Linked DNA regions of Macaca fascicularis. The main gene of each other region encodes a partner of the protein of the gene in region 2 in a complex. Links are inferred from orthologs where the notes say so. Each region holds a gene or a part of one and is shown on either strand. Other genes may lie near its edges.

Region 1 (4,301 bases), on a different chromosome or scaffold from region 2:
CCATTTCTACTAAAAATACAAAAATTAGCCAGGCCTGTATTCCCAGCTACTCCGGAGGCTGAGGTAGAATCTCTTGAACCTGGGAAGTGGACATTACAGTGAGCCGAGATCACCCCACTGCACTCCAGCCTGGGCGACGGAGTGAGACTCTGTCACAAAAACAACAAAAACAACAAAGTGATTTATGCTAGTTTACAGTTGCAGGTTGTGAGAATTTTAATATTTTATTCAACAGGTACAATGATGTTGTTTACTGTGTTATTTTAGTTACATGTTATTTATTATTATTTCCAGGTATTTTCAGGGTTTCCACCCTGGTCATTTTATTTTTTTCACTTAGTTTTTTGAGACAGGGTCTCACTCTGTCGCTCAGGCTAGAGTGCAGTGGCGCGATCTCAGCTTACTGCAGCCTTGCCGGGCTTGAGCGATCCTCCCACCTCATGCTTGGAGTAGCTAGGATCACAGGTGCGTGTCACCACACCCGGCTAATTTTTATATTTTTTGTAGAGATGGGGGTTTTGCCATATTGCCCAGGCTGGTCTGGAACCCCTGGGCTCAAGCAATCCATCTGCCTAGGCCTCCCAAAGTGCTGGAATTACAGGCGTGAGCCACCGCATCCATCCCACACTTGTCATTTTAAATACATCTGTAGAGAGGCAATGTGATAAGACATGGGGACAGACTACAGCAATCACAGGGAGAAGTACTTAAATGCTGCTAGGCCAAGCAGGTCATGAAATGATTTAAGTAGCTGAGTGGGGACATTGCCTACCCGGACAAGGTGACTCAAGAGGAGCTGCCATGTGAAAAGAGCAGCTCAAAGTAAGCACGTTTTGACTTTTTAGGGAGGCCAGAAATCTGGATTTCAATATTTTGGTAATTAATTCATATTTTTGGAAAACACCATACTGGCCACAAAAAACTGGTCAGTGCATTAGATGCCTAGCCTTCAAGTTTTCCACTCTGCGGCTAGCCCTTAGGGCTTGGCTTTGGGTTGGGGAGTTTGACTTGCAGCAAGTAACCTCACTTGTTAGCGCTTAATTTCCTCTGGTCAAAAGGGCAAAATAATAAAAGCCTATCCATCGGCATTCTGATGCTCAGATGAGATAATTCCAGAGGTCGCCCATCTCTTTACTAAGCCTTCCTTTATTAGCCAAAGTCTCACTCTACTTAAAGCATTTGGAGAATTTTCGGTTTCCTACTGGGCATTTTAAAACTGGGGATTCCTATGCATGAAAAATTTTCCCAAGTCCTCTGAATGGGACCCTGCTGGGATGCAAAGAGTTAAGAGGAAATAGCCTATTAGGGTCTTGTTAATCCGAGAAGTTCAGGACCTGAAAAGTATCTAGAGCACTTCTAAGAGCCCCGACTCAAAGACGCTAGGGTAGCTAGATCCACCCAGGGCCCGCCAGATCCTCGAGGAATTGTAGAGCAGAACCTAGAAGGAGACATTAGCATCCCGTGCTACAATGGACCAAGGCCTCGGCGGAGCGCGCAGAAGACAACTCTGGGCCCGCTGAACCAACCCAGGATACCCAGGTAAGGCGAGAACCCACGGCGCCGTTAGCGGCCAGCTCAAACTGAGGCGCGGCTAGCAGGGGACTCTCGCCCGAAAATCAGCTTGGAGGAGAACTGCCCGGAGCGAAGTCTGCGCCCACCCGGGGTCCAAACTCCACGCGGGTGACTCACACGCGCGCCGCGCCTCCCCCGCGTCCCGGACTATCCGAGAGCCCGGCGAGGACTCGACCGCGGAAAGTTGGCGCTCCCGTCGCTTCCCGCGCGTTCCGGGGCGCCCCCTCCCACTCGAGCGCCACGTGCCGCGCGCCCCCCGCTCCCGGGCCGCGGCGGGATGCCCCCGCCCCCACCGCAGCGCGCAGTGCGCAGGCGCCTTCCCGCGGGTCCCGGCGGCGGGAGCGGGAGCGGGAGGCGGCGGCGGCGGCGGCGGGAGCGGCTTCTGCCTCGGCTGGAGACTGAGGCGAAGGCGGCAGCGGCGGAGGAGGTGGAGGAGAGGCGAGGGTGAAGGCGAAGGCGATGGCGACGCTGGGCACATGAGGCCGCGGCCGGCGGGACGGGCCGAGGCCCGGCGGAGGAGGCGGCTCCGGGGGAACCCGCCGCCGGGTGAGGGGCGGCCGCAGGGCCGGCTGAGGAGAAGCGGGCCAGGGGCGGGGTCCCAGGGGGAGGCGGGAGAACTCGTGGGGAGCCCGAAGATGGGCCGAGGAGCACCTCCGGAGGTCCAGGGAAGAGCGCGGCCGGAGCGGAGGGAGGAGGGGGGCGCCGCCGAGGGGTTCCCGCCGAGTCCGGAGGGGCGTCGCCGGCCCGCGTCCTGCCACTGCCCCCGGCGCACCCTCCCTCTTTGTCCCCAAGCGCGCGGCTCCCAAATCCGGAGGGAAACGGCTCGGGGGTGTCTTGGGCCGCGGAGTTGTCGGGGGACTGTCGGGGAGCCCGGGCAGAGGCGGCGCGCACTCGGCGGCACCCCGGCGGTGCCGACAACTACCCGGGCGGTTAGGGGCGCAGGGCGGAGCCGGGCCGCCCCTCGCCACCCGGGCGCTTCGCGGGCTGCTCTTTGTCTCCCCGACTTCGGTCCCTGAGTCTCCGGCCGCTTTCCGCATCTTCCCGCTAGAACTCCTGCCTCTCGGGGGTTAGAGGAGGGTTAGTTCGAGGGCTGGAAGCGGGAAAGCGGGGCGGAAGGACTGGGCTCATCGCCTCCTGATTAACTCGTTTTCTTTACTTAAAATGACTTTTCCCCCACTTTGTCAAACTTTAGAGAACGTGTGTGTATGTGTGTGTGTGTGTGTGTGTGTGTGTGTGTGTGTGTGTGTGTGTGTGTATCCTTAAGTCTCTAGCTTCAAAATTAAGAGTAGGCGCTACCGCTGTGATTGTGGGCAGTTGTGTGGTTGTCGACTGCGTTTGGAGCTCTGAGTTGAAAAGATTTACGTGAATGTATGGTTGAGATTTTTTTTCTTTTTTTGCGATTGTCTGATTGGGAGTACTTTTCCCTTGCGAAATGGGCGAATTTGGTTTTTCTTTTTGTTCATTGAGAACTGGTAGTAATACGGATTTCATTGTGCTCATGCTTAATTTTGTTAACATCAAGACGATGTGAAATCGAGTAAGTTTGAATAAGTTCTGGCTGAGGGTATGCCTGATAAGTCTAAATTTGTTGTATGTTTGTGTCGTGTACACGTTCAAGTGAGTATATGAAAGCGCTATAAAAAATCAAACTATATAAATGAAAGGGATTTTAATTTCCTAATAAGCAGGAAACAGCATATCTCCAGTACATTAATATCTGTAGAAAAATGCGTTAATAATGTCATTTAGGAGTAAAATATTTCTCTCCCTAGGGAGGGTTTAGGTATTATTCAGAGTAAAAGAGTAAAAAAATTTCAACCTCAGAGGGTATGGAAAAAAAACAGAAAAATACCCTTACTTCCAGAACTCCTGATTAAAATACTGTGAGTTGTGGGTTAAGTTTACTGATCTTTTTAAAAACTTAGCATAGAGTTGTATCACTGCAGTTGCTTTGGATGTCTTAAGTACTGTGTAATGGCAGAATTAAAGAAACACGAACTCTTCTGGGTAGAAGGTAAAAAGCTCCGATAAACAGATCTTAGTTTTAAGTTTTCCCCAGATTTTTGTGCCCTGAGTGCTGTAGGCAAAGGGCGTATTGAAGAGATACATAGAAGTTATATGCAAGGTCTGTTAATATTTGTCCTGATTTGTAATGGCTTAATATTATTTACTGCTTCAACTGTTGTGCAATTTTCCAAAGCATTTCAAACATCCTTTTCAAAAGTTAGCACTTTTAACTTTTGAGGTTGTGTGACTTAAGAATTGTTTTCTACCAGGTAGCCACCACAGTTCTCTTAAAAAAGAGCAAAGGACCTGGTAATTTTCTCTCTAATCAATTCATGAAGGTGAAACTGAGTTTTAGCTTTTAATTCAAAGGACTTAAGTTAACACATCTCCAACATAACAATCTTACTTATAAGCTATTATCCTTTGTCAATTAAATGTTATTCTTTTATTTGTATAAGTCAGCCAAAGGGAAGGAATGCAGGGTTCTGTTTCTGATTAGTCCACTTCCCCCCAGGTCCAGGCTTGCCTATCAATCAGTTCAGTAACGAGGATCTTAGAATACAGGATATATAATTTAAATCCAGAGCATCATTATCTTAACAAATGAGTAGTGGTTGTTCCATGCCTAATTCAATGCAAAGTGATGAGTTCCAAAAAACTATTGCTTTATTTGCATTTCGTTCACATTTCAAAATTGGTGAGGTGTGTCCTTTTTTCTTTTT
Region 2 (3,810 bases):
GTCTCAGAGCCTTTCAATGCCAGTGGGTACCAGGATACTCCTGAAGGGGTCTAGGGTTTATTTCCCACCTGCTGCTTGCCTTCACAGTGCCTTCTCTCTCAGAGCAAGTCCTGAATTGAGAATGCTGAGGACAGCACTTTGAGAGATGCTCATCTAGGCCTCCAAATCCCCTCATTTTCAGAGGAGGAAACTGAAGCCAGGCTCAAAGTCGTCATTCATAGCCAGACAGGGGCAGCATCAGAACTCAACCTGCTCTTCATTATAATTTGAGATTCTTTAGGAGACAATCCTACTGTAGTGGTAATTCAACAGGTGAGAAAATTTAAGAATTCTCTTACCATCAGAAACAACTTTCATAACCCCTACACACAAATTATAAAAACCTAAAAGCTAACTTTCCCTAAATTTCTCCAAAATGTTGATCTAATTAGAAAGCACTGGTACCTCAAAAGCATCTCTGATTAGTTACATAGTTTACTGAACAAGTCAAAAACGTAACAGGAAATGTCTTACCTTTCCCTCAGAAACCCACACCAGCTGGTTTTGCTGCTGTTGAATTGCTTCTTTCAGTGCACCATACCAACCATCATTCATTGAATTTAAGTTAATTGTAGCTGAAAATAAATTAACGATGTAGTTTTATGGTTAGAGCACTGCCAAAAGTCAGAAGAATTCAACCCTGCTTACAGCTAAATCGTCATTACTGAAAGATGGTATCTGAGGATGCAAACATCTGAAATTTCTATTTTGCTACTGTATATTTTCTTTTAACCAAACAGCAGCTGTTAACACAACAGGAAACGTTCCAAGAAAAGATTGTATAAGTTTTAGTATTTGAACATTGTAACATTTTGGCCTACTTAATGTTGCCCAGGCATTGTAAGCTGAAAGAAGGCCTTTATTAACATACTCACTTGTAAAAAGATGGTGATTATTTTTACGAAGTTTATGAGATCGCTCATATAACTTCCTGGCACTTTTCCGAGATTCTGGACATAACCTCATTCTCATTGTTTTTACTCCTTGCTTAGAATCAGGATTAAGAAATACAACAATTGGATACCACTGGGCATAGTTAAGACGATCAACTGCATTTGGTGTTACATCTAATAAAGCATGTTTGTCCTAGAAAAAGAAAGCAAAGTATATACAAAGACACAAGACATCATTCATTAAGAATCATCACATTCAGTTGGGTGCGGTGGCTCACGCTATGCCTATAATCCTAGCGCTTCGGGAGGTCGAGGTGGGTGAATCACTTGAGGCCAGGAGTTCGAGACCAGCCTGGGCAGTATGGAGAAACCCTGTTTCTACTAAAAATACAAAAACTAGCAAAGCACGGTGGTGCACGCCTGTAATCCCAGCTACTTCAGAGGCTGAGGCACAAGAATCGCTTGAACCTGAGAGGTGGAGGCTACAGTGAGCCGAGATCACGCCACTGCAGTCCAGCCTGGGTGACAGAGCAAGACCCTACCTCAAAAACAAAAACAAACAAAATTTCAGTGGTAACGGATCTTTAATTGTATTCTAATGTCTCAGGAGCACATATTAAAAAACTAATTTTAAGTTAATTCAATTCCATTTCTAGCCAAATTTCTAAAAACCTTTCTATGAAGTTCACTTTTAAGACTTAGCCCTAACACCGCCATCTGACAGTATTATCCGTGTGCAGTTAGAAAAAAATAAGTTTAAGAATTTAATGTTCCTGATATTCCTTACGAATGTAAATATCAAACTACAACTTGAATTGTACTGATGTAATATATAAGCAGTCTGTTAATTACATCTAAACATCATACACTTGTTTTCTGGTAATGAAAAATCATCTTCTGATGCCTACAGTAACTATTCCCTTGAAAGTAATTATTATGGCCGGGCGCGGTGGCTCAAGCCTGTAATCCCAGCACTTTGGGAGGCCGAGACGGGCGGATCACGAGGTCAGGAGATCAAGACCATCCTGGCTAACACGGTGAAACCCCACCTCTACTAAAAAATACAAAAAACTAGCCGGGCGAGGTGGTGGGCGCCTGTAGTCCCAGCTACTCGGGAGACTGAGGCAGGAGAATGGTGTGAACCCGGGAGGCGGAGCTTGCAGTGAGCTGAGATCCGGCCACTGCACTCCAGCCTGGGCGACAGAGCGAGACTCCGTCTCAAAAAAAAAAAAAAAAAAGAAAGTAATTATTATAATGCTTTTCAGTAAGGGCTTAATTTTCTTATAGTATGTCAGTAATAGTCTTAGAAAAACTACCTTCTACTTTCAAATTAACCAAATCCCATCCCACTCAAAACCACAATAACATAATGAAATAGGCCAAATTTTAATAACTTACTTGATCTATGATTTGCTTTATTGTATGCAGGCGAATAATGCCAGAGCTACGTTGGTCAGTTCCAGCGTCTCGTGGTTCACTCTCTATTCATTATGTCAGGACAAAAATAAGACATCAAATTTTCATTGGTTAGATCAGAGTTTCTCAACTGCTGGCCACCACTGATATGCCGGGCTGGACAGTACTTTGTTTGTGGAAACTGTCTTATGCATGCAGTACTTAAAGTAAGTTTTAATATGCACACTTCTCATTTTTTTTTTCACTATTTTTCCAACTACTTTAATAGTCTGGAAAAAAATTAGCCATTAAAGAAGAAAAAATATATAGGAATGCACATTGTTTTCTTTTGCCTGGGGCTCTAACATGGCTCAACACGGCACTACCTCCCACCCCTTTTCACACTGTAACATCCAGAGAAAATATTACTTGTATGGCACACTGAGATAAACTGAGGAGGCTGCTCCTTTGCCAAGCTCTAACCAGCCACTACTGGCTGAAGAGGTCAATACCTTGGCATGTCCATCAACCATCAGTAATGGTGCTATAGCAGATTGCCTAGGGAGTTCTCGGTTAGAGACCTTAGTTACATCAGTAGAAGGGGAACCTAGGGGCAGCGAGTTGTTCATCTGTAACTGTGAGACAACCTATGGCTTCATCCTGGCAACCTGTCTTCACTGGTGTATAATGTGCCAAATGCAGCTTGGACTGGTTTCCAACCACCATCTCAGAGCACAGCAACGTTTGTGACTGTGGTCACAAGGAAAGTTTGAAAGGAAAGGAAGAGCTTTGGTGTTTCAGAGATCAGACAAAGGCAGAGATCTGGAAAGACAAGTCACACTGATGGTCAAGATAAATGGTTTTAGAGAATGAGACTACCATAAGACAAAGCACCATGGGCAAGCAGGGCAGAATTTCAAATCTAGTGAACACTGGAGAATTAAGAAGAAAGACCAACTGGGAATTCTGGCTGGAAAAAAAATGTGACTAACTCCTCAATTCAAAAGACTGTCATTAGATTCAAAGAAGATATACAACTAAGCTACCTGAATTCCTCTTTGTGGAGTAAACCTGATTAAACCAATGTATTACCCTTTAAGGCAGAGCTTTGTAAGTCATCATACTTGCTTTTCCCAAATCTAAAAATCCTACATTTGGTTATGGATAAGGGTCACCACCAACTTCTTCAGGTGAAATGTCATCTACAGATAACTTAGCCAGGCGCAGTGGGAGGTGCCTGTAATCCCAGCCACTAGGGGAGGCTGAGACAGGAGAATCGCTTGAACCCAGAAGGCAGAGGTTGCAGTGAGCTGAGATCACATCAGTGCACTCCAACCTGGGCAACAGAGTAAGACCTTGTCTCAAACAAAACAAAATAAAACAAAACCTCTTCTGAATAAACTAAAAAGATAGAAATAAACATTTTCTAACTTGCTCAGATTTTACTCAAATCATTTGTCTGCAAATCTTCTGATGTTCAGAA

Evidence for each region.
Region 1: the proteins of TJP1 (region 2) and GJC1 are in contact, whole or in part, in a crystal structure (PDB 3SHW), measured with the Homo sapiens proteins. The link is inferred for Macaca fascicularis from reciprocal best matches to the Homo sapiens genes TJP1 and GJC1. Residues at the interface, in NP_003248.3 of Homo sapiens: Lys429, Ser432, Val433, Gly434, Leu435, Arg436, Leu437, Gly449, Val450, Leu451, Val484, Leu487, Leu488, Leu549, Asn551, Gly552, Lys553; in NP_001073852.1 of Homo sapiens: Lys391, Thr392, Ser393, Val394, Trp395, Ile396.

What each region holds. Positions count from the first base shown.
Region 1 is NC_088390.1:65,888,075-65,892,375, reverse strand, and holds the start of GJC1 (gap junction gamma-1 protein), read left to right. Parts: upstream 1-1,347; 5' UTR 1,348-1,539; intron 1,540-1,906; exon of another isoform or gene 1,907-2,118; intron 2,119-4,301. UniProt on the Homo sapiens protein: One gap junction consists of a cluster of closely packed pairs of transmembrane channels, the connexons, through which materials of low MW diffuse from one cell to a neighboring cell.
Region 2 is NC_088381.1:7,734,050-7,737,859, reverse strand, and holds part of TJP1 (tight junction protein 1), read right to left. Parts: intron 2,414-3,810; coding exon 2,331-2,413; intron 1,126-2,330; coding exon 915-1,125; intron 615-914; coding exon 514-614; intron 1-513. UniProt on the Homo sapiens protein: TJP1, TJP2, and TJP3 are closely related scaffolding proteins that link tight junction (TJ) transmembrane proteins such as claudins, junctional adhesion molecules, and occludin to the actin cytoskeleton.